3 linked regions of the Cricetulus griseus genome follow. The protein of the gene in region 2 purifies or fractionates together with the protein of the main gene of each other region. This does not show direct contact. Links are inferred from orthologs where the notes say so. Each region holds a gene or a part of one and is shown on either strand. Other genes may lie near its edges.

The links.
Region 1: the proteins of Cdc42 (region 2) and Iqgap3 purify together in Homo sapiens (affinity purification with mass spectrometry; 4 studies listed by BioGRID and IntAct, with this or other methods). This does not show direct contact. The link is inferred for Cricetulus griseus from reciprocal best matches to the Homo sapiens genes CDC42 and IQGAP3.
Region 3: the proteins of Cdc42 (region 2) and Prkci purify together in Homo sapiens (co-immunoprecipitation; 3 studies listed by BioGRID and IntAct, with this or other methods). This does not show direct contact. The link is inferred for Cricetulus griseus from reciprocal best matches to the Homo sapiens genes CDC42 and PRKCI.

Annotation. Positions count from the first base shown.
Region 1 is NW_023276806.1:66,388,297-66,398,499, reverse strand, and holds the start of Iqgap3 (ras GTPase-activating-like protein IQGAP3), read left to right. Parts: upstream 1-4,893; 5' UTR 4,894-4,962; coding exon 4,963-4,999; intron 5,000-6,617; coding exon 6,618-6,705; intron 6,706-10,152; coding exon 10,153-10,203.
Region 2 is NC_048595.1:15,949,859-15,960,332, forward strand, and holds the start of Cdc42 (cell division control protein 42 homolog), read left to right. Parts: upstream 1-4,342; 5' UTR 4,343-4,464; intron 4,465-10,474. UniProt on the Homo sapiens protein: Plasma membrane-associated small GTPase which cycles between an active GTP-bound and an inactive GDP-bound state. In active state binds to a variety of effector proteins to regulate cellular responses. Involved in epithelial cell polarization processes.
Region 3 is NW_023276806.1:119,645,383-119,655,769, forward strand, and holds the start of Prkci (protein kinase C iota type), read left to right. Parts: upstream 1-4,593; 5' UTR 4,594-4,789; coding exon 4,790-4,890; intron 4,891-5,180; exon of another isoform or gene 5,181-5,240; coding exon of another isoform or gene 5,241-5,245; intron 5,246-5,394; exon of another isoform or gene 5,395-5,409; coding exon of another isoform or gene 5,410-5,417; intron 5,418-10,387.

The sequences.
Region 1 (10,203 bases), on a different chromosome or scaffold from region 2:
TTCTGTCTTGTCCACCACATCCTTGCACTCCCTCTGTAATTATTAAAACACAGAATACCACTGAGAATATAAACATGATGATCACAATTAACATATTCATTTCTTTTTGTTTGTTTGCTTTGTTTTGTTTTTCAAGACAGGGTTTCTCTGTGTAGCTTTGGAGCCTATCCTGGCACTCACTCTGGAGACCAGGCTGGCCTCGAACTCACAGAGATCCGCCTGCCTCTGCCTCCCCAGTGCTGGGATTAAAGGCGTGTGCCACCAATGCCCGGCAACATATTCATTTCAATAATAACTTTAAATACCAGTGGCCTCAGTTCTCCATTCAAAAGACACAGACTGACTGAATTAATCAAGAAACAAAATCCATCTATCTGTTACCTCCAAGAAACACAGCTTTAAAGATAGGTACCACCTTAGAGTAAAAAAGATAGACAAAATTGCTCTAATCAAATGGAACCAAGAAGCAAGCAGGTATCACCATCCTAATAAATGACAAACACTAAAGCAAATCAAAAGAGATAAAGAGGGACATTTCATTCTAAGCAAAGAAACGGTTAATAAAGAAGACATTACTATCCTAAACATATATGCATCGAACTCTGGGGTGCATGATTTCATAAAAAAAAAATCTAGTACAGTGCTTAAAGACACAAATTAATTCCAATCCATTAATAGTTGGTGATTTCAGTACCCCGCTTTCTCCAATAGAGAGGTCATCTGGACAAAAAATAAACAGAGTAACTGGTGGCGCACGCCTTTAATACCAGCACTCAGGAGGCAGAGGCAGGTGAATCGCACTGAGTTCGAGTCTAGCCTGGTCTACAGAGCCAGCAAGTTCCAGGACAGCCAGGGCTACACAGAGAAACCCTGTCTCAGAAAAACAAAACAAAACAAAATAAAATAATAAACAGAGAAACATCCCAACTAATTGACATCGTACTCCAGATGGACTTAACAAGTATCTACAGAATGTTTCACCCACATACCAAAGAATGACCATTCTGGAAGCTTTTCTAAAGTAGACCACATCTGGAACACAGAAATCTTTACAAATTCAAGAAGATTGAAATAACTCCTTGTATCCTATCTGAGCACAATGCAATAAAACTTGAAATTGACAGCAAAAAAAAACTCTAGTCAGTATGCAAACTCATAGAGACTAAACAGCTCATTACTGAATGATCAGTGGGTCAAAGAAAACAACAAGAAACAAATAAAAAAACTTTCCAGAACTAAATGAAAACAAAAACACAACCAACAAAACCCCTGGGACACATTGAAAGCAGCCTTACTGGGGGAGGGGGTTGTAGCTGTAAGTGCCAGCATTAAAGAATCAGAAAGAGCACAAATAAATGGCTAGAGGCTGTGAATTTGAAAGAGAGAAGTGGGGGTATATGGAAGAGTTTGAAGGGAGGAAATGAGAGGGATAAATATTGTGATTATATTATAATCTCCAAAAAGCATTCATATATATATATATATACATATATATATATATATATATATATATATATATATATATATTTTAAAGAAAGTAACTGAAGTGAGAAAGGATTTATGTTAGCTCACAGTTCATCATGGTACGAAGTCCAAGCAGCAGGAGCTTGAAGTAGCTGCATCTACAATCAGGAAACAGTGAGTGGCGAATGCAGTGCCTTTTGCTCAGCTCCACATTATATAGTCCAGGATCCCCTGTCCAGGTAGTGGTCCCACCCACAATTTTTAAATGTCTTCCCACATCAGTTAACATAATCAAGATAATCCCCCAGAGGCATGCATGCCCAGAGGCCTATCTTCCAGGTGATTCTGCCAAGTTGACAATTTGCAATAACGGACATGGAGCCTTTTCAAATGTCTGCCATGAAGCTTTGAGCCTTGGCCGCTGCTGCTTGCATGATGTGTGGAGAAGGACGAAGGGATAAATACAGGTCCTAGAAGCCTATCACACACTAAGCCTGGTCCTTTTCTCACCAGAGCTGTTATAATTGTCTTTATTAGTGAAGCCGTATTATCTGTCCTCCGTGCCACCAAAGTAGCTTCCCAATTAGTCTGTACCCAGTCTCACTCTCTCCAAGCCCTTGCTGTCATCTTTTCTAAAGCACCAAGCTGCTCTGACCTGCGTCTGAAGGGTTAGCAGTTGCTCACCAGCCCTTGTCTCAGTACCTTGGCAAGTTGCCTAAGATGTGTAAGACACATCCTTCTCCCTAGCTGACCTTTTCCACATCACTAACACAAGTTTAATGTCCCTAATATTCTTACACATGCTGTTTCCACTGTGTAGAATGCCTCTCACCTTTAACCTGGTAAATTCTTCCCTTTTCAACTTGGATTATCAGGGACCAGAGGCACAGCTCCATGCAGACACATCTACCAGGCAAAACCAGGTTTCAAATTTTGCAGCAGAAAAGAATTGCAGGACAAGTCAGAATGAAACAGAATTGGAGGTTTTTTGTTTGTTTGTTTTTCGAGACAGGGTTTCTCTGTGTAGCTTTGGAGCCTATCCTGGCACTCGCTCTGGAGACCAGACCTGGAACTCACAGAGATCTGCCTGCCTCTGCCTCCCGAGTGCTGGGATTAAAGGTGTGCGCCACCAACGCCCGGCTTGGAGTTTTTTTCTTAAGAGTTTTGAACGGATTTTTAGGCACATCTGTTAATAGTGGGAAAAAAGAGAGTACACACCAATCATGGGTGTGGGCTTCTGCGTGAGTCATGCTTTTTTATGCCTTTGTAATAACCAAGCATCAGATTTCGATGGCTTCTGCAGTTACATCTGAGAAGGTTGCCAAGGAACTTAAATGGGATCATAGGTTGGTTGACTAGGTGCACAGGACCAGGTCACACAGAGAAGGAAAAGCCTTAGGCAGACATGAAGATTGCACAAGACAGTTGAACTGTTTTTCACTGTAAACAGTGTTTATATTCTTATATGTGAGATTCCCAAGAAAGGGGCTTGGCCTTTGTAGGAGGCATTGCCCAAAGCACTGCTCTGTGGGAGCCTGCAGAAGTATGCCTACAAGCAGGTAAACGTGCCTGCTCTCTAGCTGCAGAACCTTCTCCTTTATTCCCAGGTTCTGGGGCTCCGGGGTTAGGAGAATGTGGATGATTTAGAAAGCCCCTTAAAATTCAGCAGTTACCAAAGGCACTGTAGGCTGGGGTCCCTAAGGGACTTGGGGAACCCTTAGGCTTTCATTCCACATTGCAGGTTCATATCTGGAAAAAGAGGGGTAAGGCCAGACTGGAAGACCCACTGTAATTTTAACATGTTTTTCTTTCCTTTTTTCCTTTTGGAAATTTCATATATGTTTACAATGTGCTATGATCATGTTCACTCCTCATATTGTACCATTCTTACTTGAAATATTTCTGTATAAAAATAATATTATCTCAGGCTGGAGAGATGGCTCAGAGGTTAAGAGTATTGACTGCTCTTCCAGAGGTCCTGAGTTCAATTCCCAGCAACCACATGGTAGCTCACAACCATCAGTTATAAGATCTGGTGCCCTCTTCTGTTGCGCAGATATACATGGAAGCAGAATATTGTATACATAATAAATATATAAAATCTAAAAAAATATTATCTCTGTAGGTAGTCCTTACATCAATTGTTAGTTGTATAGAAAGTTTTTTTTCCATCTGGTTTATTTATTTTCATTTTATGTGCATTGGTGTTTTGCCTGCATGAATGTCTGTGTGAGGGTGCCAGATCCCCTGGAGCTGGAGTTACAGGCAGCTGTGAGCCACCATGCAGATGCTGGAACTGAACCCAGATCCTCTGGAAGAGCAGACACAGCTCTAAGTAGGAAGTTTTAACTCTTAGCTGGTAGAGATTTCACCCCCATGGTGAGGGGTCCCATTTGTAGCGTTTTTGTTATTGTTGTTGTTTTGTTTTATGTTTTTGTTTTACTCTTTTGACTTTTTCGGGGGTGGGGGGGGGCTGCCACTCAGCTTCCAAATTAATACATGGAGTCTTATTCTTACTTATGAATGGCTGGCCTTAATTTGGCTTGTTTCTAGTCAGCTTTTCTTAAATTATCCCATCTGCCTTTTGCCTGTGGGCTTTCCCCTTTCTCTATTCTATATACTTACCTTTACTTCTTACACTGTGGCTTGCTGTGTAGCTGGGTGGCTGCCCCAATGTCCTCCTCCCTCCTCTTGCTCCCAGATGTTCTTTACCCAGATTTCTTTCTCCTCAGATTTAGTCTCTCTGCCTGCCAGCCCCGCCTATCTTTTTTCCTGCCTAGCTACTGGCTGTTCAGCCTTTATTACACCAATCAGGTGTTTAGACAAGCAAAGTAACATAGCTTTCACAGAGTTAAACAAATGCAACATGAAAGAACGCAACACATCTTTGCACCATTAAACAAATGTTTCACAGCATAAACAAATGCCACACATCTTCAATTCATATTCCACAACACCATTCCCTACCCATGCCTTTTAAAAATTAGAACGTTTTTTTTGTTTTGTTTTGTTTGTTTGTTTTTTTTTAATCTTGCCTCATGATCAGCCGAAGCCTCCACTAGGAAGGTCTCTGCCGTCCACGCAGTGATTCTCAGTGTGGCACTGACCTCCAAGCTTTTTGACATTGTCTCTACCACTTGTTATAACCCCACTCTCTAGAGAGCATGCTTACCCCTGTATTTGTCACCTAGTTCAGTGTATAACACCAAGTAGCATACAGGGAGTCCCGGGAATTCTATAGGAAGTGGGACAGGTTAATGAAAGGAAGGGCAGCGGCAGGGACTATTTGAAAAAGCCAGCTGAGCAGAGAACGGGTCTTGCAGAAAGAGCAAATAAATCAAGGAACTGCCCCAAAGCTATCCCTCGCCTCCCCACCTGGGAGAAACTACGAAACCCAAGATTCCCTGCGCACGACCGGAAGTGTCCCAATCCCGGTGTGACCGCGGTGAGGGGTGGTGTCCCGGCGGCGGGAGATTCAAAACTGGCAGGAGAGGGAACATGGAGCCGTGTTCGGCAAGCCGGGCTCGGACAGCCTGTGAGTGCGGGAGGGCCCTGAGCAGGGTGGAGTGGGTGCTGCTGGTGGGGCTTGGCCTTCGCGGGAGGGCTGCCTGGAGCACGGTGGGGAGTGGGCGTGCGCAGGGTGACCGCGCTGCACAACCTTCAAAGGGCGCTGTCCCTCATCCCCAGGCTCTGGGGCCGCAGGGGCGGGGAGTGTAGACAGTCTAGGTGGCCTCTTAAATCCTGCCGTTCCCGTACTTGCCAAAGGGCGCCACGGGATGGGATTCCGCAATGCGTCTCAAAGGACTTGGTACCTGGTCACCTGGCGGCTTGTTTAAAACGCAGCACCCGGAGGGCGGGCTTGGCGGCGCACTCCGGGAAGTCCAGCAGTTGGAAAGTGGAGGCAGGGGGTCAAGAGTTCACGATCAATTTTAGCTACACAGTGCATAGAGGATGCCCTGGGCCACCGGAAACACTGTTTGCTTAGAGAGAGACCCAGGTTTCTGGGAAGGGCTGGAAGGATCGGCGGAACGAAAAACAAAACCTGCTTTCTTTACAGTCCTTCACCACTTGGACACAAATAGCAGAATCGGTGTCCACCCACCACGTGAGGGAATGCTCGTGCCAGAAAAAAACATTTTTGTGGTGGTTGTTTTTGGTTCGTGTGGCTTTTTTGAGACACTTTGTGCGCGCGCGCGCTCTGGTGCTCACGCTCAAGGCCCCGCCCATTTCATCTCGCTGAGTCCCCAATTCATAGCTCTGAGGTGATGTCACTCTCTTACGGGTTTATTTTCCATTCTTGAACAGCCAACTCTTGTTCCTTGTAAACTCTCTCAGAGGAACTCCTGCGTTTTCTGCCGTTGGCCAGTGCTTTCAAATCTGTATTTGGAAGTGTGCGTCTGTGGGTTTGAACTTTTATAACTGCCAATTCAAATAAGCCCAGCCCTTCCTGAAACCGTACAGCAGGATATCCAAGATGAGGAAATAGGATAAAGAGTAAGAATGACTGGTGCCCAGTCAAAGACAAATCCACCAAAGCTGTCGTTTCTTGCATGTTCGATGGGCTTGTATTTTTTTAGCCCAGGGCGGGGCAGAAAGGTACAGAGTGAATGAATGACTGGGCTTAATCCTTGACTGTCAGCCGCGATTCCAAGGGAGACCTGTGGCAGCATATATTTGAGAAGTTAGCATGTAATGAAGGGTAACATTCAAAGCTAAGCTCCCAGTTGAGGACGGCTCTGGATAGCCCTGCTAGTGACATTGAGGCAGACTTGGGAAAGAGGAGAAAGACAGGAGATGGCTGCAGAGGAAAGAAGGAAATGTCTCTGGAAGAGAAGGGTGCTCCCTGTTAATGGATTCACTGGGGAGAAGAACTAGGACCTGGAGAGTGCGTCTGTGCTCGGAAGGGGCTGCCTAGGAAATATGTCCAGAAGCAGCATCAGAGCTGAGGTTCCTGTCTTTTTGTTGTTGTTGTTTTTTAAGCTTTATTTTATTTTTATTTGTGGGCATGTGTCGGTGTGTATATCTGCCTTGTGTGTGGGGGTGCCCACAAAGGCAGAGGAGGGTTTGTTACAGGTCATTGTGAGCTGCCCAGTGTGGGTGAGGGAATCCCTCTCTAAGGCTGCATTGCTTGACTGTGTCCCCTCACACTTCAGATGAACGCCTCACAGCTGAGGAGATGGATGAGCAGAGGCGACAAAATGTTGCCTATCAGTACCTGTGCCGGCTGGAGGAAGCCAAGCGGTAAGCAGGGCCCAGGAAGATGGGTTCCTTTTGGTCCACCTTTCCTGTTCCAGGCACCTGTCACCAAATCAAATGCAAACAGACAAGGGGCTGTGCTGTGGGGAAGGGCAAGTTAAAATAATTTTGTCATGGCAGGCACAATGGTGCCTACCTATAATCTCAGTGCTCAGGAAGAAAGAGAATAAAAAGTTCAAGGCCAGTGGCAAGGGAGATGGCTCAGTTAGTTCGAGCAAGAAGTCCTGACTTCAGATCCACAGCACACAGTCAGCTATGGCAGCATGCACCTGTAATCCCGGTGCTTGGGAGGCAGAGGTAGGCAGATCCATAGAGTTCATTGGCTGACCAGCCTAGTCAATTAGTGAGCTCTAGGTTCAATGATATGAGAGACCCTGCCTCAGAAAATAGGATGGCCATTTTCCAGTTTCACTCATTGTCTAAAAAGAAAAAAATTGTCTTTATATAACAGAGTACCATGTACAGTGAAATGTACAGTGAAAATTTTAAATTAAAAAGAAGTAAATCTGTTTAATTAAAAAGAAGAATCTAGCCAGGCAGAGGTGGTGTGCACCTTTAATTCCAGCACACGGGAAGCAGATGCAGGTGGATCTTTGAGTTCGAGGCATAGTCAGTTCCATGATAACCACGGCTACACAGAGAAACCCGGTCTCAAAACCTAATCCCCCCCCCCCCCAAAAAAAAAAGGAAGAATCTAAAAGTTTGCACACGAGAAGAATCTAAAAGTTTGAACATGATGCTTACCTCTTAGGCCTTCTCTAGCCAGGCACACTGCTCCCTTTTTCATTTTTTAATGTCCCTGGCTTTTTAAGAAACTGGATCACTTTTCCTGACATTCTGGCGTCATTCGCTTCCCGTGTCATTCATCTTGTCCCTCCTTAGTCCCTATAAACGGATATTGGCTCTTAAAGGCTTGATTAGGTTTAATGGAAAGTGGTGGCAGCATGTGGTTTACATACACCTCACAGGAGGAACACAGCATCGTCTTGTGCTGCCTCTGACAATACTAAGTACCTGTTCCTGCGGTGCTGTTCTCTATCTCATGATAGCTAATGAGTTTCCCCGTTAGCTTTCACCACCTGACTTGTTGTCCGCCCTCATTGGAACCTTATTGGGGTTACAAGATGACTGGTGTTTTGTTTGTTTTGTTTCCCCCAGTGCTAGAGATAGAACCCAGGGCTATATGCGAAACAAAATGACTATTTTCCAGTGCTATCATGTCTTCATTAATTAGCTGAAATTCTTTCTTAAGAAAGGACTTCCAGGATGGGGAGATGGCTCCATGGGTAAGAGTACTTGCTGTGCAAGCTTGAGGATCCAGCACTCATGTAAGAAGTCAGGCATAGTTTGCATGCCGTAGCTTTAGAAATGAGGAATAGGAGCTCCCTGGACTGGCAGCTTAGTCAAAACAGTCAGCTTTGGATTCAGTGAGAGACCCTGTCTCCAGGGTCAGTGAGACCAGTCTCCAGGCAGTTGAGCAGAGAACAATAAAGGATGACACCCAGTGTACTCGTGGTCCCTGCGTATGTGTGAGATGTGCGTTATTATACATCCCTGTACACACTTATATACCACACAAAGAACAAAAAGGACTTCCTTCATCATCTGAGGGCTATTTGGTTACTTTATGATTCAGTTTATCTAAGAGGGGCATGACAAATACATTGTGTGTGTGTGTGTGTGTGTGTGTGTGTGTGTGTGTGTGTGTGTTTGGTGTATGTTTCTGTTTGTGTAGATATCAGACGAGGATGTCAAATGTCCTGGTGTGTCACTCTCTATTTCCTTGAGAAAAGGTCTCTCATTAAACCTGGAGTTAGACTAGTGGCCAGCATTCCCAGCCATCATCCTGCTTCCCCATATAGTGTTAGGGTTACAAGTGCTTGTGGCCATGCCTGGGGTTTCATGTGGGTGCAGGGGATTTGAGCTCAGGCCCTCCCCTCCCCCTCCCTCCCTCCATGCCTGTTTGGTAAGCACTCTGATCTGCTGAGTCATTTTCCTTTAAAATTTTTTTAAACTTATTTTTATTTATTTATTTATTATTATTATTACTTTTGTTTTGCTTTTTTGGGACAGGGTTTCTCTGTGTAAGAGTCCTGGCTGTCTTGGAACTTGCTTTGTAGATCAGGCTGGCCTCGAACTCAGAGATCCTCCTGCCCCTGTGCTGGGAGGGATTAAAGGCATGTGCCACCACCACCCATTAAAAAGGTTTTTAAAATTTAACTTAAATGAATGTGTATGGTGTTTTGCTTGCCTGATGTCTGTGTACCAAGTGGGTATCAGATACCCTGGAACTAGAGTTACAGATGGTTTGTGAGCCACCATATGGCTCCGGACCCATGTCCTCTGGAAGAACAGCCAGTACTCTTAACCACTGAGCTATCCCTCTTTTCTTTTTAGCCAATAGTCTATTTTAATGTTTCCCCCCCAAAAGGTAGACTAGAACAGATAAGAAAACAGGTGTCAGTTGGGTGTGGTGGTGCACACCTAAGATCCAGGCATTCTTGGGATAGAAGCAGGCGGATCTCTGTGAGTTCAAGGCCAGTCTGGTCTATAGAGTGACTTCCAGGACAGCTGGGGCTACACAGAGAAACCGAGTCTTGCAAAACCCACAGATCAACCAATCAATCAATCAGTCAGTCAGTCAATCACCCAGGTGTCCAGCAGGAACAGTGTGAATCAAAGTGTGCTTGGCTGTCTTTGGAAACATCTATAGACCTCAATATCTGGAGAGTTTACCCCAGGAGTCATTCATTATGCTATAGCCACCAGCAGTAAAATGCATTTATATTCATATTCAAAGTGTGCTCGGAATCACCAGATCACTGATTCTGGCAGCTGCCCACTGAAGCCAGCAGTACCAGTGAAGCTGGCCTCATTTTGCAGAGTGCAGTTGAGCTTAAGAGGCCAAGTGAGGGAGATGGCATGGAAAGATTCTAAGAGGTCTGGCCTTCCTGTCCCTGTGCTGTTCCTCTTCCATCAACTCACAGGGCCTCTAATACCCTCATCCTCAGAACAGAATTGTGTGAACTGTGGAGATCATTCCAACAGACATGAGCTTTCTGTACCTAAGTTTTCAGAACCATGCCGAATGACAGAAGTGGCAGATTCTATTTGGTTTGAGTCAGATATGTAGCTAGACTAGAGTAAGGGGTTACCTTACAGAACAGGGTAAGAGTCTGGCTACACCTCCTTGAAGACAGGCAGGTATGGAAGCCACTCAGGGAGATTTCCCAGGATGAAGGCAAAGGGCTGGCATGTTTATGTTTAGGCATTTATAGCAGGTTGGGGAAAGTGGGAAATGGTGAGACAATAGGAAGAGAAGGGAATTTTGGGTAGGGAAGGAATGGTATGTCAGGTCACTTGAGGGATGGGCGGGTCCTACAAATACCTGTGTGGCCTGCCAGTGTGTAAGAACTGCTCTCCTGCTCACAGCTGGATGGAGGTGTGCTTGAAGGAGGAGCTTCCTTCCCCAGTAGAGCTGGA
Region 2 (10,474 bases):
AGTTTGCAGAGGAGAGGAGTTTGACAACAAAAAAGAGAAAAGTGGAATCTAGAGACACAGAGGTGGGAAAGCACACAGGCTGATGTTGACCAAAGCTGTGTTCCCAGCCAGCTGTGGTGATGCATGTCTGAGATCCTGGCACTTGTGAAGATGAGACAAGAAGGATTAGGATTTTGTGGCCAGCCGAGTGCCATGTTGTGAGTTTGAAGTCAGTCAGAGCAGTGCAGCTCTGAAAACCGGAAAAACCCGGAAAAAGAAAGAGAGGGAGGAGCTCCAGTGTGACTTTGGGGTGCTGATAGCTGGGAATTTGGAGATGGGTGTGGTATCAGGACCTGGAGGAGATGGAGCTGTGGAAGTTATCTAGAGAGGGGGTAGAGCTTATTACCACATAGTAACAGTCAAGGAGCAGAGGTGGCAGAGTGACTTCAAGAGCCTTGTGTTTGGATGTGATGAGATGACTGGCTCAGTGGGTGCACCCCACAGTTCATAAAATTAAAAAAAAAAGTCTTGGCTAGAGCTTAATGAGAAGTAAGCTCAGCACTAATGGAGGGGCAAAAAGAACAGAGATATAGGGGCTGGGGAGATGGCTCAGTGGTTAAGAGCACTAACTGCTCTTCAGGAGGACCAGGGTTCAATTCCCAGCATCCACATGGCAGCTTACAGCAGTCTAACTCCAGTTCCAGGGGATCCAACACCCATGTGTTTGTGACAGAAACCCATTCAACCTGGTCCAGGCAGGAGAGGGTATTTGTTGGCTAATGAAACTGAATACTGAAACAAGCCAGCACCCAGTGGATGGCACAATGCTCCTGGTACTTCCCTTTGCATATGGCTTTGTATGGCTCCCATTTTCAGGAGCAAGAGGCTGGCTGACAGCAGGGCCATGCTCACACCTGACCTCAGCAACTCCATTCATTCAGCTGGACAGTTCTCACCAAGTTCCAAAACAGAAACTGGGTCCCCTGCCTGCTGCCTATTCAGCTCTGTCTGCAATTATGAGACTGGTCAAGCCTGGGTTACACATCTATTCCTATAGGCAAGATGCTTGAACCAGTACTACAGGAGAGTTGGGGAACACCGTGAAAGCCAGTTTTATGTCCACTTGACACAAGCTAGAGTCATTAAAGAGGAGGGAGCCTCAGTTGAGAAAAATGCCTCCATAAGACCAGGCTGTAAGTAAGCCTGCAAGGCATTTTCTTAATCAGTGATTGATGGGGGAGGGTCCAGCCCATTGTGGATGGTGCCACCCCTGGGCTGGTGGTCCTGAGTTCTATAAGAAAGCAGGTTGAGCAAGCCAAAGCAACACTCCTTCACGGCCCCTGCATCAGCTCCTTCCTCCAGGAACCTTCCCTCTTTGAGCTCCTTTCCTGACTTTCTCCAAAGATGGACTATAATGTGGAAAAGCAAGCCAAATAAACCTTTTCCTCCCTGAGTTGCTTTTGTTTATGGTGTTTCATCACAGCAATAGAAACCCTAATTAAGACAGACTTTGAAGGCTGCCATCCTGCTAATTTAATGGAGATAGAGCCAAGGGAACAGGGCGAAGGAGACGTGAGAGCCTGGAGTCTTGGCTGGCAGCTTTCGATAGGGTAGATAGGGGTCAAGGAGTAACCCACTCCATCTTGGGGTGGTGGGAAGGTCAAGGGTGCCTTCTGACAAAACAGGGGACAAAGTGCTGAGTGAGTCCTTGTTCTCAGAATAAGTGCAAGCAAGGCCAAACAGTTGGGTGACACCCCATCAAGATATGGCAGCTGATGGAAAGGGCAGGCATTGTCTGGGGACATTCATGGCACTGTGAGGCAGGAGGAAAGAAAGGACATAGCCAACTAGCCTTGGAAACAGAGAAAAGCAGCAGTTTCTCTCAGGCTGAAGAAATTGATGCGGCTTTTCTTTTTTTTTTTTTTTTCTTGTGATAGTAAAAAGTTGGCATTTGACGTAGTCTGAGTGAAGGGTGTAGCTGAACCGGAGAGTACTTGCCTAACATTGGTAGGCCCTGGTTTCCACCCTGGCACTGAAGGGAGAATTTGCAATAGGCAAGACAACCTAAATCCTAACAGTGTGAGACTGCCCACATAGTAGACGTGGATCCACATGGTAGAATGCAGCCTTGGAAGAGGGGCTTCATTTGACACGGAAAGATGTTTACAGTGCAGCTTTGAGAGAAGTAGATGGCAGGCTGGGGGTGGCTTGGGGGTAAAGTGATTGCCATGCAAGTGTGAGGACTTGAGTTCTAATCCCTAGGGCTCACATAAAGCTGGATGCAGTGGCGCATCTGTAAGCTCAGAGTTCCACTGTTCAAGTTAAGATTCCTGACATACAATGACACACCCTTCTGGATGCAGTGTCATGCCCAGCTAAGTGGACTTATTTTTTTCTTTTATTTTTAGATAGGGTGTATGTATCCCAGGACAGACTGAACTCTCTATGCCTTCAAGGATGACCTTTGATTTTCCTGCTTCCACCTCCCAAGCTCTGGGATCAGAGCTGTTCACCCCCATACTTTATTAAAGTGGTAGTGATGATCAAATCCAGGGCTTCGTGCATGCTAGGCAAGCACTCCACTCACTGGGCTACACTTCCAGCCTGCAAATGAACATTATTATTATTATTATTATTATTATTATTATTTGGTTTTTCAAGACAGGGTTTCTCTGTGGCTTTGGAGGCTGTCCTGGAACTAGCTCTTGTAGACCAGGCTGGTCTCGAACTCACAGAGATCCACCTGCCTCTGCCTCCCGAGTGCTGGGACTAAAGATGTGCGCCACCAATGCCCGGCTTGCAAATGAACATTATTAAGATGTTTCTTCTGATATCGGGAAGCATCTGAGACTAGGACAGGATCCCTATTCTCTAGCGGCTTTCGCACTAACAGGGAAGACAGCAAACAAACAGGTACCAAGAAGACAGGGAAGGTAGAAGGATTTGAGAGATCAGAGCTGAAGGGACTAGCACAAGACACCCCAAGTTCTCAGCACAAAGGAGATTTATTTGACCCAGGGGGACAGAGGGCAGGGAATATGAGACAAAGACAGGAGACAGAGGACCAGGGAGAAGGGAAAGAGAACAAGGGAGAGGAGGGAAGGAATATTTGTCCCAGAGGTACAAAGGACTGCCTCTGGATTGAGAGGAGACAGACATGGCCCATAGACAAACAGCAGTTTATAAAGGTAAAAGGGGGAAATCCTGAGTTAGGATGAAATTTGACTGGACAGGTTAATTAGGTAAGACAAAGGGGGGTTTTGATCGCTGGACTACAATACTTTGATAGCTGGACATTGGCAGTCAGCCTCAGGAGGAGGAAGTGGCTAAATAAGGGAATGGACCATGGTGGCTAGTTTTAGGATTATAATCTAACGATTTTTAGCAAGACAGAGGGGATGTGGGAGGACAAGGCCATGTTTGCCACACTCGGGCTGGCTAGAGTCCCTTCAAGAGTCAACCTAGGGGGCCAGGGAAGAGGAGCTAGGCAGAGTAAATGCAGGACCTTTTTGAGGGGGCGGGTCTCTAGCTCTAAACAAAACCCAGGGCAATATTCTATTCTCACTCCTTGACAGGCAGATTGTTTAGAGGCCCGTGGGCTTCAGAAAGCTGTGCACAACAAGTCTCTATTTCTCTTTGAGAAGCAAAAAAGGATGCAGGGTGTGGAGATGCATGCCTACAATCCCAGCACTTGGGAGGTGCAAGGATGAGGATCAGGAGTTCAAGGTCAACCTCTGCTACATAGTTGTGTTCAAAGCCAGCCTGGGCTACATGAGACCCTGTCTCAAACGTCATTAAAGAAAGGTACCCTGGTCATGGGGATGCACATCTTTAATCCCAGCACATAGGAAGCAGAGGCAAGCGGATCTCCAAGTTCCAGGCCAGCCTGGACCATATAGCAAGTTCCAGACAGCCAGGGCTATACACAGAAACCCTGTCTCAAAAAAACCAAGCCAAGCCAAACCAAACCAAACCAAACCAAAAAGACATCCCAGACATGGTGTTGAGTATCAGCACGCAGGAAGCAGAAGCAGGAGAATATGAGTTCTGGGACAGTCTGGTCTATATAGCCATTCTAGGACAGCAAGGGCTATATAATGACACCTTGTCTCAAAATAAAAAAATTAAAAATAAGATATATTTACAATGCTTTTCTTCACAAAGTTCCAAGGACAAAAACAAACTTTAGTGACAACACTGTGAACACTTCTGTTCATAGTTTTATTACGAATAAAAATCACTGGTAAAACGTGCAGAAAACCTGAGTATAGGAGGAACTCAGCCCGCGCGTGCGCGATACGGGCGGAGCCACTACCAAGCCACGCCCACCGCGGCCCGTTCCAGCCCCTTCTTCCTCTTTGTCCCGCCCACTTCCGCGGGCACCCAACCGTGCGTCCCCTGCGTGCTGACGTCAGGCGCGTGCCCCTGTCCGGCAGCCGAGGAGGCCCCGCGCAGTGCTGCCAACGCCCCGGCGGAGAAGCTGAGGTGAGTGCGGGGCCCGAGTAGCCTCCCCGCGGGAGTGTGTTGTGCATCGCCCGGTCCCTGTCGCGCGCCCCCGCCCTCCCTCGGTCCTCGAGGATGCTCGCGGTCGGGGGCATCCCGGTACCTGCGGGCCTCGAGGGGGGGGATTGCCGGGTTCGCGTGCGCCCGCGGGCCCGGGTTCTGAGGGGAACGAGGCGGGGTCGCGGAGAGATTTGGGGCCGGAATGGCGACGAGGCGCTGCCGGGGATGGCGGCGGCGGAGGGCGCATCCCGGCCGAGCTGTCAGTGGCGGCGGGAGAACCAGGCACACCCATCCCACCGGCTCCCCTCCCCCTCCGCCCGTCCGCCCTCCCGCCCGCCCGGGCTCCGCAGACTCCTGGACGGGGGCAGCGGACGTAGGGCCGGGTTCCGGGCCGGGGGCTGGGGGCCGGGGGCCGGGGGCCGCCGGCCGCCGTCTACGTTTTCGGTCTCGACTTCCTGCTTCCCGGGCTCCGCCGTGGACGCGTTGCTGCGGGCGGGCGGCGGGGGAGGGGAGCGGAACTGCGGCCGCAGGGCCGGGCCGGGGCCACGGTGACGGACCGGGCGGCTCTGCGCCTGCGCCCCTCGGCGGTCCCCAGCCCCGCGCTGTGTCCGTCCGCTCCTGCCCCGCGGCTCCCGGGGCTCCCGCGACTGGGCCGGCCTCCTTGCCTTCCGGGACCTGTCTAAGCACCTCCCGAAACCCCGCCTGGCCGCTTGCTCGGTTCCTCATTACTAGCAGGAAATTTTCTTTGTTGGTTTTTCTATTTTTTTTTTTTTAATTCCTCTTTCCTCCCCTTTAAGTCCCGTAGAAATGCAGTGTGGAAGATTACGTCATCTCAGCATAAGGGGTGAGAGTTTTAACTCCTACAAGTCAGGGCTCCACAAATTAAGATACATCTTGTGGCCTTAGTGGGTCACTCCACTCAGCACGTCGGTTCAGAGTCAGGTGGTGTGTTTTTTTTTTTTGTTGTTGTTGAAATCATGTTGCCTGCCTTGATGGCTGCCTGAGATGCATCTAAAATACGGAAAGGTTAAAAATCTTAGGCTTAGGTTATTTTTGGCCAGGGAATACACACTGTCTGCAGCCACTTAGGTAGGCATGAACTTTAAAGGTCCCCTTGGCTGTCTGTACTCGGTTGAACTTTCTTGTGGGAGCAATTCTTTGCCACACTGACCAATTGTGACTTAACCTGATGTAAGGAACCTAAATTTGGTGCATGGTGCTAAGGGTGAGCTAAAAAGAGAATTTAGTTGTATATCTGATTTGTCTTTGTTAGAATTGCAACTTAAAGTTGCATGCTTTAGTTTTACCATTAAAAATGGTTTTCGGATTTATTTTTTATTTTGAAACAGGGTCTCTATGTTTAGTTCTGGCTAGCCTTGACCTTAAAGGGACATTCCTTCCTTCTAAGTCTCTCTTTATAGGACTTATTTATGTTCTGTCATGGGAAACTGATAGAATAGTCCCTGCCGCCTAAGTGCTGGGATTACAGGCATGAACTACTTAAATTACCACCCTTGGTTTTAATTTTTAACCCCCAAAACTTGAGTAATATTTTTAGACTTGTATCACTAGAATTGTGTCCTTTGATTATAAAATGCAGCAGTGCTGAAGAACATTAACATTGCAGAGCAAATGAGGTCCACTTGTGTAATGCATCCTTTTAAGGGTGGCTCATGTTTGAGAAAGAATTTTCCCATTATTGCTCATTTGTATAGAAAATAGCATTGCTTGTTAAGAAACACCAGAGTGGTGTATTCAAATTGACTTTCTGTAGTTTGTAGGTATGGCGCTTGAATCTTCCAAAATACACTGTTAGTCTTTTTGTGACATAGGAGTATAACATTGGAGCATTTATTTACTACTGTATTTTTTAGCTTTCTATGTTTAAAAAGTTTATATGTGAGCCAATTTGTATTTATTTAAAAAGTTTGTGTGTGCACCAGTTTGTATTTTTTTCTTTTTAATTAAGTAATCTGGCTGGTGAGATGGTTCAGTGGATAAAAGCACTGGTCAGGCAGGTCTGACTACCTTAGTTGGATCCCCAGAACCCATGGTGGGAGGAGAGAATCCTGATTCCCAAAAGTTGTCATCTAGCTGGATTTATTTAGTGTTCCATACTTTCAATCTTAGGCAGAGGCAGGTGTATCTCTGAGTTTGAGGCCACCCTTGTCTACATAGAGAGTTCTAGAACATCAAGGACTAGAGAGACCCTGTCTTGAAAAAAGAAAAACAATAACTGTCCCAGATCTTCACATTTTGGCAGCATGCAAGCATGCATGTGTACACACTTAGAAATACACACAGTAATAATAAAAATAAGCAATTACTTTGAAGTTTTAGGTTTTAGACTAAGGCAAGGAAATAAGATTGGTAATTAACTGAGTATTAAAAAGGAGCTTTGAAAATATATACAGTAATTTGTTCAAGACCCAAAGGTGTCTTGTCTTCTGTTACATTCTCTTAAGATGTTTCATACAGTGACCAACCCCGTAGCTTAGTAAACACATTTCCCCTGTCCAGTATTCTAAGCAAGCCCATCAAGACTGAATCCTGAAGTTTACAAAATGTCAAAGTTTGTTTACTTAGGATTTCTTTTTTGCACTTGAAATAGTTTTTTAAAATGTTTTTATTCCTTCATACTTTCATACATGCATACAAAGTGTTTTATATTTTGATCATGTTCATCCCTATCTCCTTTCTCTACCACCTGATCCCTGTCCCCAATATGTTCCCCTCCCAACTCTGTGTCCTCTTTTGTGATCCACTGTGTCTAGTTAATGCTGCCCCACTTGTCATCTTATGATCTATGAAAGAAGCATTTTTATTTTTATGTGTATACTGATAAAAATAAAAAATACCCAAAAGCTATTAAATTTGGACAATTATGTACTTTGTCTTTTTTGGGAAGTAGCACTGATAGGGTTTGGAAGCACAGGTCAAATTATGCTTTGATTTATAGTACTACAATTTAAATGGAATTCTCTCATTTTAGTTGTTTTTTAAGAGTATAAGAAACATTTAATCATTTTAGGGTATAAGATCTCTTATAAAGGGGAACAGTTCATAGTGGGTGCATTTTTCTCCCATAAACAGCTCTCTGTCCCTCAGTGTTAAAGGGCTATTCTGTATTCCTATGATAGTGCCTTTTCAGTCTTTGCAAAATGTTTGCTGTCAGTTTCCCCTGATAGAACATAAATAAGTCCTGTGAATCCAGGGCTGTGACTTGGTATGGCCATCGTGTGTCCTTTTAATAAATATTTGCTAATTTGTGAGGGTTACCATTCTCACTGTTTTTCTGTGCATCCTATAGTCCTTCATGTTTCATTTGTTGAGATTACTTTATTTGCCTGGCCAGCCATATCCAAATCTGGACTCACTGAAACTATTGCTAAGTTCCTTGCTTGTCCTTGTCTGTCAGTTAAGTGCACTATCTGGGAATTAGGAACTCATCTGGTAATTATTCTCTTATTTTCCTAAAATGTATCCAAACTTAACCTCTGTTTCCTCATCTTCATGTATTTCTTTGTTGGCAAATAGTAGCTTATTTCTACTCCCTTCTTCCCCCTTGCAGTGTCAAGTTTCCTGTTCATGTGATGTTTTGCCCCTTCTGAGTTTCTACTTTTAGATGCTCATCTCTTCTGTCCAACATATTTTACTGAAGCATTTTTGTTAGTGCCATTCAGCTTTGTCTGTCACTGCTGGTGTCTTTAAGTTCATGGTGTTAGAGTTCTTCTCTCTGGTGTCAGAGTTCCTCTTCACTAGTTAGTTACCTTGGGACATTGGTCTTAGATGTTTATTCCATGAAGAAACTAAATGTTTTGTCATCTAAATGTGTTCTTCCCTTGCAGTTGAGAAAAATGAAACTGGTCAAGGTAGCACATTCTTACAGTCTTTTATTTTTATTTTATGTGCATTGGCATTTTGCCTGCATGTATGTCTGTGTGAGGGTGTCAGGTTACAGACAGTTGTGAGCTCCCATGTGGGTGCTGGGAATTGAAACCAGGTCCTCTGTAAGAGCAGTCGAACTACTGAGCCATCTCTCCAGCCTCATTCCTATAATCTTAACACTTGGGAAGTATAGGAGGATGTGGAAGAAGTTTAAGGCCAGCCTTGGTGACATGGAGTTCTAGGCCACTCTGAATTACATGAGATCATGACTCAACAACAACAACAACAACAACAAAAATCAGTTTTTAATTTTTAAAAATTAAGAGTCTCATTAAGTTATCAAGATTGGGCTTAAATTTACCATACTCTTTTTTTTTTTTTGGTGTTGTTTTTTTTGAGACAGGGTGTCTCTGTAGCTTTGGTGCCTGACCTGGAACTTCATCTATAGACCAGGCTAGCCTCGAACTCACAGAGGTCCACCTGTCTGCCTGCCAAGTGCTGGGATTAAAGGTGTGTACCACCAATGCCCAGCAAATTTGCCATAATCTTATCTCAGTTTCTTCAGTAGTTAGGATTACAGACCTGAGCTAGCAGACCCAGCAGGGTGGGGGGGAGGGAGAATGTGTATATTTGTGCATTTAGATTTGTTTTGTGTGAATGTGTTTTGTGTGCATCATGTGCATGCCTGGTGTCCACAAAGGTCAGAAGAGGTGGTTGGATTCCCTGGAACTAAAGTTAGGACTGGTTGTGGGTGCTGGGAACCAACCTGGGTCCTCTGCAAGGATAGAAGTGCTTTTAACAGCTGGGCCATATCTCCAGTTTGTTTTTAAATTTAATACCTAGTATTAGTTGTTAAGTTGCTGTGTTGGTGCACTGTCACAGGAAGAGAACCTCTGACTGTGTTGCTTTACTTAACACATCATTTTCTTGAGGCTCTTTTGTTTCCATCTGCTGCTTTAGTTTGCTGCTGTGTGTTCTGGAGATGCTGCTGTTTAGAGCACTTGGAAGCATAGACTTTGGAGCTAGACTGTCTGGGTTGAAATCATTGATCTGTCATTTATTAGCCATGTTCAATCTTAAGTCATGCTTTGTGACTTCAGTTTATCCTTTGAAAAATGAAGCTAGCAAGCCTAGCAGGTAATTTAGGCCTGTAATCCCAGCACTTAGACGAAGGGTTGGAAGATCAGGAGTTTAAGATCATAAACTTTAGGAGTTAGATGCCAGTCTGAGCTACATGAGACCTGTTTCAAATAAAAATCAAAATAAAAAATAAGGCTAGTAACAGCACCTGCCTCATAGTGTGGAAGATTGTATCAGTTGATGTTTATGAAATGTTGTAAGACTAGTCACCTGCAGGCAGAGCTGTGTAGGCTCTCACTATTAACTGCCTCTTAGGCCCCAACCCTTGACCTTAGAGGTTGTGTTTACTTCACACATAAATGTTTTTACAACCATCCAGTCCACAGACTAATCTCATGAATCCTAGAAAATTCCAGGTGGAGATTGTTATCTCCTTTACATTTTTATCTTTCCTACTGTCACAGAACCAAATAATCCCAGGGGCTGGTCCTGTGGACTAGGATAGTTATTATGTGGCCCAACATAAAGTCATAAGCATTGCTTAAAGTCTGTGTGTGTATATGTATGATTTAAAATTAAAATTTTGTGTTTGTGCACACTCATGCCACAGCTTATGTGAAGTTTAGAGGACAGCTTTGTTGAGTCTATTTTTACACCATTAACATGGGTTCTGGCTATTGAACTCAAATCATTAGGATTCCATAGTAGAAACGATTTTCCTCTGAACCATTTAGTCAGTGCCCTCCCTCCCTCCCTCCCTCCCTCCGTCCCTCCCTCCCTCCCTCCCTTCTTTCCTATTAAATTTTGAGCCATGGTCTCATGAATCCTAAGCAGGCCTTGAACTCATTGTGTGGTTAGGGATGACTTTGAACTTCTGGTTTTCTTGCTTCTACCTCCAAGTGCTAGGATTAGTGGCGTGCACTACTGTGATAGATTTTTGTGGAGGTTTGAGATCAGGGCTTCATGCATGTTGGGCAAGCACTCTGTTAACTGAGGTACATCCCTAGCACATAGCCCATTAAAA
Region 3 (10,387 bases), on a different chromosome or scaffold from region 2:
CTGTTCAGGGTGTGTTTCTTTGGCTAGCCCTTTTCCCCCTACAACCCTGACTCTAGGCAATGACGGGATACCTAAGATGGAGAACTGTTCATTTTCTGGATTGGGCATCCTCCAAAGATGTCCATGGACCATGCTGTCCCCAGAGGACATGTTGGTATCTGTGGTTCGAGCTACAGTGGGGGTACATGCTTGTGTCCATGGTCCATATGGACTGTTAGTATTCAGGTATCTGTACTGGCTTGCTCTTAGGGTTCTGACAGGATATGCTCTTAGCTGCATCCACTAAGAACACCACCTGTGCACATTCACTAATCCCCCCTCCCTTTTTTTGGTTTTTTTCAAGACAGGATTTCTCTGTGGCTTTGGAGACTGTCTTGGAACTAATTCTTGTAGACCAGGCTGGTCTCGAACTCACAGAGATCCACCTGCCTCTGCCTCCCGAGTGCTAGGACTAAAGGCGTGTGCCACCAACACCCGGCACTACATCTCCTTTTAAAAGGACCCTGCCCTCCCATCTTTCTCTCTTTCCCTATCTCTCACTCTCTCTCTCTCTGTCTCTGCCTCTCTCTTCTGCCATTCTGATCCCCAGAGACCAGTTTCCCCTCTCCCCTTTTCCCATTCACTTTCTCCCAGTAAAAAAAAACCCCTCCATCCTGTCAATAAGGAGGCCTCTGCACTCCAGGGAGCCTCTGGTGGTGGACTAGTATTTTTCCCTGGTGCAAGAAGGGACTTTGAGAGCCCATCCCACGTGAAGGGATACACTCTGGCCATGGACACATGGGGAAGGGTCCAGGACCAGCATAGGAAGACTTGGTGGACTTTGCAGAGCCCCCATTGAGGGCCCTACCCTGCCTGGGGAGTGGTGGGTGGATGGGGTGGGGGGTAGGCTGGGGTGGGGGAGGAGGGTTGGGATGAGGGAGGGAGAGGGAGAAGGGACTTGAAATAAGCTTGTTCCCTAACTAGAACTAATAAAATAAAATAATAATAATAAAAAAAAACAACCCTCCATCCAAGCTCTGTCACATGTCGTCTTTCTCTTGCATGCCGCTTTTTAAAATTACAACGTGGCCTCTGTATGTGTCTTAGGCAGGCCTGGAACTCACTGTGTAGCTGAGGATGCCTTGACTATTGCTTATGCTGCTTCCATTCACAGGTGCTAGGATTACAGGTATGTGCCACCATATCCAGCTTGATTTCCTTGTTTTTAGAGTTACTACAGTTCAGATATGAGGTTGAGGAGCCAAGTTGGCCTTTTCTGTCCACTCCCACTGTGCTGCACTGTCTGTGCTGCCAGGCTAGCACCCTGTCCCCAGCCACCATCATGATCATGTACGGGGACCTCATCAGTCATGATGAGCTGTTCTCCGACATCTACAAGATCTGGGAAATCGTGGACAGGCTGTGCCTGGGGGTGGAGGGCCAGCAGAACAGAGGGTAATGTGGATGACTCACTCACTGGTGGAAACACTTCTGCTGAAGGGGAGGGCACAGAGCTGAAGACACAGTAGTCACCTGTGTTGACACCATGAACCATCACTTACAAGAGACCAGCTCCACAAAAGAGGCTACAGAAAGTACAACCAAGGTTACATGAAATCAATCAAAGGCTGCAGAGCAAACTAAGCACAGCCTTGCTGATTTCAGTAACTACCGTTTTTTTTTTTTTTTTTTTTTTTTTTTTTTTTTTTTTTTTTTTTTTTTTTTACGAAAACACGAATCCAGATGGCATGGTTGCCCTCCTGGACTACCGTGAGGATAGTCTGTTTAAGATTTTAAGAATGGCTTCGAGATGGAGGAATGTTAACAGATTGGATCTATCTATTGCCTGGCTCTATACCCAGATGCTGCTTACACAACACCAGGAGTTGGGACAAATGGGACCTTTGTCATCTTGGACTTCTATTGTGATCTTGATTTATTTGTAAGGTATGTAAAGTATAGTTCAGTAAAATTTCAAAATTTTAATGTTACTCTCTGTGATCATCATCACAGAAGCATCCATCCCCCCCCCACCCCGCTCTCCTCCTAGTCTCCACCCCTCTCTTCCCTTATCTCCATATCCTCTAAGTTGGTCTTGAACTCATGGTTTCAAATGATCTTTCTACCTCATCCTTTGCAGTAGTTAGGTTCCCAGGCATATGGCACCTGCTCTAAAAGTTGTTATCTTAGGAGGGTCAAGATAGCTGAACTGGTACAGACAGCTGCTGCTGAGGTTGACAACCCAAGCGTAATCCCCAAGACCCATATGGTGGGAGGAGAGAACCAACTCCTCTAAAAGTTGTCCTATGATCTGCACAGGTGCCCCACCCCCCAATAAAAACAACTTAATGATTTTTTTAAAATTTAATTTTATTTTATGTATATGTATGTTTTGTCTGCATGCATGTTTGTGCACCATGTCTGTGCCTAGTACCCACAAAGGTCAAAAGGCATCAGATCCCTTGGAACTAGAATTATAGACCATAGCTGCCATATGGGTTCTGGGATTTGAACCCCAGGTCCTCTAGAACAGCAGCAAGTGCCCTTACCCACTGAACCTTTTCTGAGCCTCTGTAATGATTTTTTAAAAAGCTATCATCTTTAAGAAAAGGGATTTTTTGTGTGGTGGTATTTATATGAGTTATAGTTACAGATTCTTATAGCTAACACAGTAAGTACTAAAAGTCCTTGGGTAACAATGGCCACTTTCTTCCCCCACCTGGGATAAGGTTTCTCTGTGTAATAGCTCCGGCTGTCCTGGAACTTGCTCTGTAGATCAGGCTGGCCTTGAATTCACAGAGAGCTGCCTGCCTCTGCCTCTGCCTCTCGAGTGTTGGGACTAAAGGCTTGCACCACCACCACCCAGCTAACAATGGCCACCTTTAAAACCATGTTATGAAGCCATCAATGACAGATTTTTCAAAAGTCCTAAGGACTAAGGATTAAAAAACATTTTTTTTCTGTGACTTACTTTCTATTTCTTTATATTTACTCCTTATATGTCACAATTAATTTTTCTAGAGCATTATATAATCCGAATTTATCACAAAGCATAAAAAATTTTTCAATAAACCAATTAAAATTTGGCCATCTTGGGTTGGAGAGACGGTTCAGTAGTTATAAGGCACTGATTAATCTTCCTGGGAACCTGGGTTAGATTCCCAGAGCCCAATACAGGTCACCATTTATGTAGCTCCAGCTCCAGGGGATCTGACACCCTCTTCTGGCCTCTTCAGGAACTAGGAACGCATGTGGTGCACACACATAAAAAATAATTAAAAATTTGACCATCTTGTTTTAGCTATAATTTATAGTGGATAGTAATCAGTTCATATTTAATAGGATGATGCATGTCTAATTGTCAAAAGAATACGTTAGTGGGAACTTTCATATACTCCAAATTTGTGACTGTTGGCTGATGCCATACCAAATTAAGTGTCATGCATATAGCTCTCATGAGTTAAGCACCCAAGTGTAATTTGTGACTATAAAGAAAGCCCTATCTTTGATTATTTCAACTCTACATATGTTGCTATCTGGGCTGACTGGGTGGCTGGATTCAAGCTGCCTTAAGTATAGTAGGTTACATGACACAGCCAATACCTGAAGAAGTCTGAAAGTAAATTACAATGATTGATTATTTCTAGTTCTGTTAGCTAGTGTCAGTAACAAACGCTAATGAACTGAAAAGCTAGTTAAGTATTCATTGGGCACTTGGTTCCATAGAACAGCAGTATACAGGGGGCCTGGGTATGGGGGCCCTGAGGAAATCTCTTGTATGATATCTCCCAGTTTAGTGTCTTCTTTCGTTGCATTCATTAATGCTTTTGCTACCTATATCATTACATTCTCCCAATAAAAGAGTGAGCTGGGCAGTGGTGGCGCACGCCTTTAATCTCAGCACTTGGGAGGCAGAGGCAAGTGGATCTCTGTGAGTTCGAAGCCAGCCTGACCTACAGAGCGAGTTCCAGGACAGTCAGAGAAACCGTTTCGAAAAAATAAAAAGAGTGTTCTGAGCAGGTAATCAAATCTTGTTCCCCCAAGTGGCACTGTTTAATTTCAGTGATCGATGAAATTGGCATGGAGACTTTACCTAAAAACAGAATCTAAATCGTGAAGAAGCCAAGTTTCCAATGCCCTCAGATACTCGAGCTGTTTTCAGGATGTCCATGCCTAGAATCCCAGGAAGCAGGAGATAGAAGCAGAAAACGCGGCTCCCTATACTTAAGAAGCACGTCCCAGAATCCCACCGGGACTCCAAATCCCAGAAACCCGCGCGCAGCAAATCCATCCAGGAAGCACAGCAGGCTCGCTGAGGACGCGACCAAGTACAAGAATGGGGGGATCAACTCTACGCATGTGTGTGCCCTATAGATGTTTCGCAGGAAAATTTCGGTTTAAAAGCTGAATTTTAGAAATTATTTGAATTTCCAAGATCTACTCCCTTTCATATAGTCTTGTGGTAGACTGGCGGATCCCGTTCCCGCTGCTACCCTGTCCTCCCCCGTAAGGATGAGAGCGCCGGGGCTCCGCAGCTCCTGCGCCCGCCCGCCGCGGTATGCGGCCTTGGGAGCGAGCGTGGTGGGAGGAGCCGCGGCGGGAGGCGTGTTGTGCAGCGCGGCGGGAGGAGCGTCGGGGTTCGGGCTGTGGCGGCGAGGCGACCCTTCGCGCAGCGCCGCGGGCAAGGCGGGCAAGTCGGCGAGGCGGGCGCCCACGGCTTCCCGACACACTCAGGCGGCCAGCTCCCTCGCGTCGCCCGGCACTGCCCCGGCCCCCTCGGCCTCCGGCGGCGAGGCGGGGGAGTGAGGAGATGCCGACCCAGAGGGACAGCAGCACTATGTCCCACACGGTCGCGGGCGTCGGCGGCGGGGACCATTCCCACCAAGTCCGGGTGAAAGCCTACTACCGCGGGTGAGTGACCGCGCGGGCGTGGGCGGGCTCGGCCCGGGTTGGCGGGCTAGGGTCTTGGTGGTGGGGCACGAGCCATCGTGGGGGCGGCGAGGGGCGCGGTTGGTGGCACCCGGGACGAATGAGCGTAGGTCGCCAAGGAGTCAGTGGAGAAGAGTAGGTGCACCCGGAGGGGAGAACAAATCAGCTGACTGAGAGATTTGCAACTGGGTGGATTGAGGATTTTGAGGGTGCTGCTGTGGGTTCGGAAGCCTGGACTGCTCCTGTTAGCTGGCTCTCTTCATTACCGACAGGCCTGAAGCCTCCGATTTTGTAAACCAGATTTGTATCTGCCCTTCGCCGTTGGAGAGTTCATGAAGTGAGTCTGGACTAGGGTCATATAGCCAGTATAGGAATTAAATTTAATACTAAAGTCAAATTTTTTTTTTTTTTTTAGGATGTGCCCTGGCTCCTTAGGTATGGTCAGAATTTAGTGGCAAATATGCTGATCTACATTTTGGAAGCCCTTCTTTAGTGAGAGATATGGAAAAGTGAGAAGACAGCTTTAACTCCTGTGGTTTTCTTCGCTCAGTTGGTCACCAGGCCTTTAAATTAATGTGGCTGCCAAAAGTAATCCAGTTCTAAGAGATCATTGCATCAAATAATTCTCTATCATGACTTACCGTAAAGTTCTTCCCTTTCTTTGAATTCGGTTTGTGGCTTGAGATCATTGAGGAGCACTAGTGAGTGTGAGCATGGGGACTGAAAAGTAGGGATTAACAGAAAACCCAACTGCTTGTCTAGGCAGATTGCTTTTAAAAACTTGGAGTACCACAAGGTTAAAAGTGCTATGCGTGCTTTTACATTCCTGAGGGGATCAGTGAAGATAGCAGACCTTCGGATTGCTTTCTTGTTTTCATTTCAAAGAGCACTGGAGCTCCATGTCTTAATGCTTTCACAAAAGGCCTTAGACTCTTGGAGGCCAGCCTCTGTAACATCCGCTGATTTCAGGACTAATTTGTAGGACTTACAGTAAGCACTGTTGTTAGTTAAAATATAGGCGAGAGAGGTTATGACTTTAAAACAATCCCCCAAACACATTTTCGTTATTTCTTTTCTTGTGAGTTTTTTTAATATAAGTTGGTAGTTTTCATAGCCGCTTTAGCCATTTTGTTTCATGGCTAGACATGAACAAACTTTGCAAGATTGAAAGAACCACAGTCCCCCCTCCAGGACAAATCACACAACTTTATGATAATTTAATAGATATTTTACTTAGAACCCTAGTTCTAAACCTTCCTAATGATGTGGCCCTTTAATACAGTTCCTCAAGTTGGGGTGATCCCCAACCATAAAATTAATTTTATTGCTGCTTCATAACTGTGATTTTGCTATTGTTACCAGTTGTAATGTAAATATCTGTGTTTTCTGGTGGTCTTAGATGGCCCTGTGAAAGGGTCCTTTGATCTCTGCTTAAAGGGGTTGAGAACCACTGCTTTAAAGAGTGCTCCATTTTCAAAGTTGACAGTCCATGGCTATTAGGTGCAGAGGATGAAGTACGGTGGATTTTTAAAAAACTGCCTGATTATTGATAGGTTAACAAACCAGAGTCAATATGAATCCAGGGACATACTAGGAAAGTACATATTGTGTACAGGTGTAAAATAAAGTGTGTCTTTTAACTCTCCAGTCTCCACAGGCTCTACTGTTGATGGTTAACTTGTGGTTCTTCTGAAGGTTGCATTTATTATTCTAAAAGTTGCATTCATTAATCAGCCGCTTAGAGCACTTGCTATTCTTCCAGAGGAGCCAAATTGGGTTTGAAGTACCTGCATCAGGTGGCTTACAACTTTCTGTAACTTTAGTGCCATGGGACCCAGTACCCTCTTCTGGCCACTGTGGCACCCCATACATGTGACACACACATATACATAAACAAATTCTTGGGTTATCATCTTTAGATAATATTTATTGATTACTTAGACTAAAAGATGAAAATTAGTGTATATAATTTTCTATACTATATATACCTTCTGTTTCCTTTGTCTCTCAGATTTTTGTTGTTTAGCTATTGTTTTTAGTTTTTCACTTACTATTCTTAGCCTCCAGGGACTCGATGAAAGAGCAAGGAATTAATGCTTTTTCATTTTCTCCATATTTTTATTAGTTTAACAAGTATAAATAGGCACATTATATCAATAATTTCCAAATTTTCTTTGAAAAGAAATCTTTATTTATTGCTCCAATTATTTAAAAAAAGAAAAGAGAATATGGATATAAGATGTGTCTGTTTAAAATTTCTTGAAGACAATCTTCTAAAATTTAAGAAATTTTACTAAAAAAGACACAAATGACTGCAAGTCTTCAGTGCTTTGTAATCAATAGTAATGTCCTGATAGTACTTTTTCCCCAAGCCTCTTCTACAGACAACCTCAGTACTCTAAACTGTACCATTTTCTGTTCTCTGAGTCAGCCATTAAGATTATGTGTTTATTAACAATAATCTAAACTGGTGATTATATTACAGCCAGCTGCTTATTAACATTGATGAGACTAAAATGACTCACTAGCAAGGACACTTAATAAATAAGTAGGATAACAAATCCCACACATAATTAGAAAGTAGACTCCCCTTCCCTTATACTGTCTTTAATAAAGGAGGGTTTGCTTTTGAAAAATATTTTTTGGGCTGGAGATATACTGCTCAGTTGGTGGAGTTCTTGCCTAGAGTGCATAACCCTGCCATGGGGGACATTGTAACCCCACCACTTAGGAGGTAGAAAGTAGGGAGTATCAGAAGAGTGAGGTTGTCCTTGGCTACATAGTGCATTTGGGACCAGCCTGGGTTACATGAAATTTTGTCTTAAAAATAAAAACTACTCCCCAAAGAAAAAATTCTTTTCATTAGCTTTTTCAAAAGAGTACTATTCCTCCTAACAGTATTACTTTCCAATGAAAGTTGAATCTGGGAGTGTTTTCAGTGAGTGATTTATCCTCTTTAAAATATGTATACAGTCTACTTGGGCTGTTTATGTTTGATTTCTAGGGAAAGTGTGTCCTCCTAGATATAAGAGGCATGCAGTTTGACTTTTTTCTAGTTTTTAAAAGTAGGAGATTTTTTTTCTAGTTTTTAAAAGCACTGAGAATTTAGTTTGACTGGAGACCAACTAAGAGTTCTTGTCTCGTGGTCTGTACACAATTTCCCCCGACATGGGAACTCAGTCAGTGGCCCTTTTCAGTTGTTACATAGGGCTGCTGGAGGAAGAGAAACAGGTTTTTTTGGTTAGTGATATATTGCTATTGTGTGCTTATCCGTATATAAAGGTACTTGTGGGATAGAATTTAACCAGGTAATATGTGGGCTGCTCATTTCTTTACATTGTATGTGTACAGGAGTTTGGCAGAAAGCTTGTAAAAAGTGCTTTTTAAGCTGCTGTTGTTGAATGGTGATTACAGTCCAGAGAACTCCTTCAGTTTGCATTAACTGTTTATGGCAGTAAAGGGGATCATACTGGTGCTTGCAGCTGCCCTCCTACTGAGCTGTATCCACAGCTCAGGATTGACTCTGCACATTTGGAATGTAGAGCTGTTTGCATTTTTTTCCCCTTACACTGAACAAGTCCTGTCAGGTCTTGTTTTTAAGAGCATTGCAAGATTATTTTAGCTGTGTACTTTTAGGCATTGGAGCTGAGGATATAGTTCAGCTGGTGGAGTTCTTGCCTAGTGTGCACAAAGACCTGGGTTCAATCCAAGCACCACATTAAACCAAGTGTGGTTGTGCCTGCCTGTAGTCCCAGTATATAGGAGGTGGAAGCAGAAAGATTAAGACTTCTCAAATTTGTCCTTGGCTGCATAGTCATAACTTGGACCCTGTAGGACCCTGTCTCAAGGAAAAAAAAAAAAAAAAGTGGGAATGGTGGAGTGGGAGCCAGATCCATGGGGTTGTTGACCCATAGCTTGGCCAAAGAGAAAAGAACCCTCAGAAATCTTGAATTTGGTGACACTGGGATAAATGGCGTCTTGGCACTGAGGACTGAAGCCGAGGAGTTGGAGAAATTGGTGAGGTCCAAGAAGCACATGCCCTCTGAAGGGCTGAAGGAAGGAAGCAACTGTTCAGAAAATTCTCCCCAGAGGGAGAGGTGCTTTGCTCCCCTGCTGATCCTCCCCTCCTTGATAGTCTCTGGGGAATTGGCTGGCCTCAAACTCACCAGGGCTGGCCTTGAACTCTCCATCCTCCAGACTGTGACACCTGAATGCTGGGATTACAAGGTGTTTGGTAACACATTTTCCTGTGTGTTCTCTCTCCTTCCCTTCCTCCCTGTCTCCTTTCCCTTGTTCCTTTGCTGTTCTCACACGGGGCCCCATGTAGCCCCACCTGACACATAGCTTACTCTGTAACAGGGCATGACCTTGAGGTGGGATAACAGGTGTGTGCCACCACACCCCAGCTTTGTGTCGTGCTGGTGCTCTAACCCAAGGGTCTCATGCATGCCAGGCAACCAATGCACCAACTTGTTTTTCCAACCTGTTTTCCCTTCTAATTTGATGATGGGACACTATGACATTTTGTCTATTAAAGTTGCCAGACATTTCTCAGTCTCTTGTTCTGAAGATTTTTAGTTTTGTGTAATTAAATCTGTTTTTTCCCTTTATATGTGGCTTCTTGGTTTGCTTCCTTAAGTGGATGTGCTTCTCATTTCTAGGTAGTCTACAGCTTTGTTCTGTGAAGATATTAAGTAGTCACCATCTCAATGTTATATTTTGGGGTATAGTAATCAGTAGTTTTCTGATACAATGTATATTTTAAAATTCTACTGACACTTTTTGAAAGAGGTCTTTTACTACTGGTTTGAAATAACTGTTACATACTGTATTTCTCATAATGTGGATAGATGATTGTCTATTCGGTGCTGTTGATTTGGGGAGAGATCTGTTTAGTACATGCCACAACTTGATTATTACAGAATGTAGTTAATGTGCTTTGGGTAGTCTTACATATTTAATCTTCTCTTTCCAGGGTTTTTGTTTTGATTGAATAGTGTGCATTTTACCAAGAATTTCTTGCTTTCACAAATGAGAACTTTTATTTCCTCGTAGTTTGCATTGCTGTGACTAGAATATCTAACGGCAACAAGTTAAGGAAGAAGTTGTTTAGACTCATGGTCTCAGAGGGCTCAGCTCATGATTTCTTGTTTAGGCTCATGGTCTCAGAGGACTCAGCTCATAATTTCTTGGCCCTATGCAGTCGAGTATAACATCACGGTGGTAGATGCTTGAGGTGTAGGACAGCTGCTGACATGAAAGCGGACCAAGAAGCAGAGAGCAATACTGGAGGTGACCATTGATAAAGTACCACAGAGGCCTCACTGTCATCTACTTCCTCTGGCTAGGCCTCACCTTTCAGTGTTTCCAGAACCTTACAAAATAGTGCCTGCAGCTGTGTATTAAACATCTAGTCAGTGAGCCTGTATCTTTCTCATTGGTTTATTGTATCCTTTTTTTTATTTTAATTGGAGTCTTG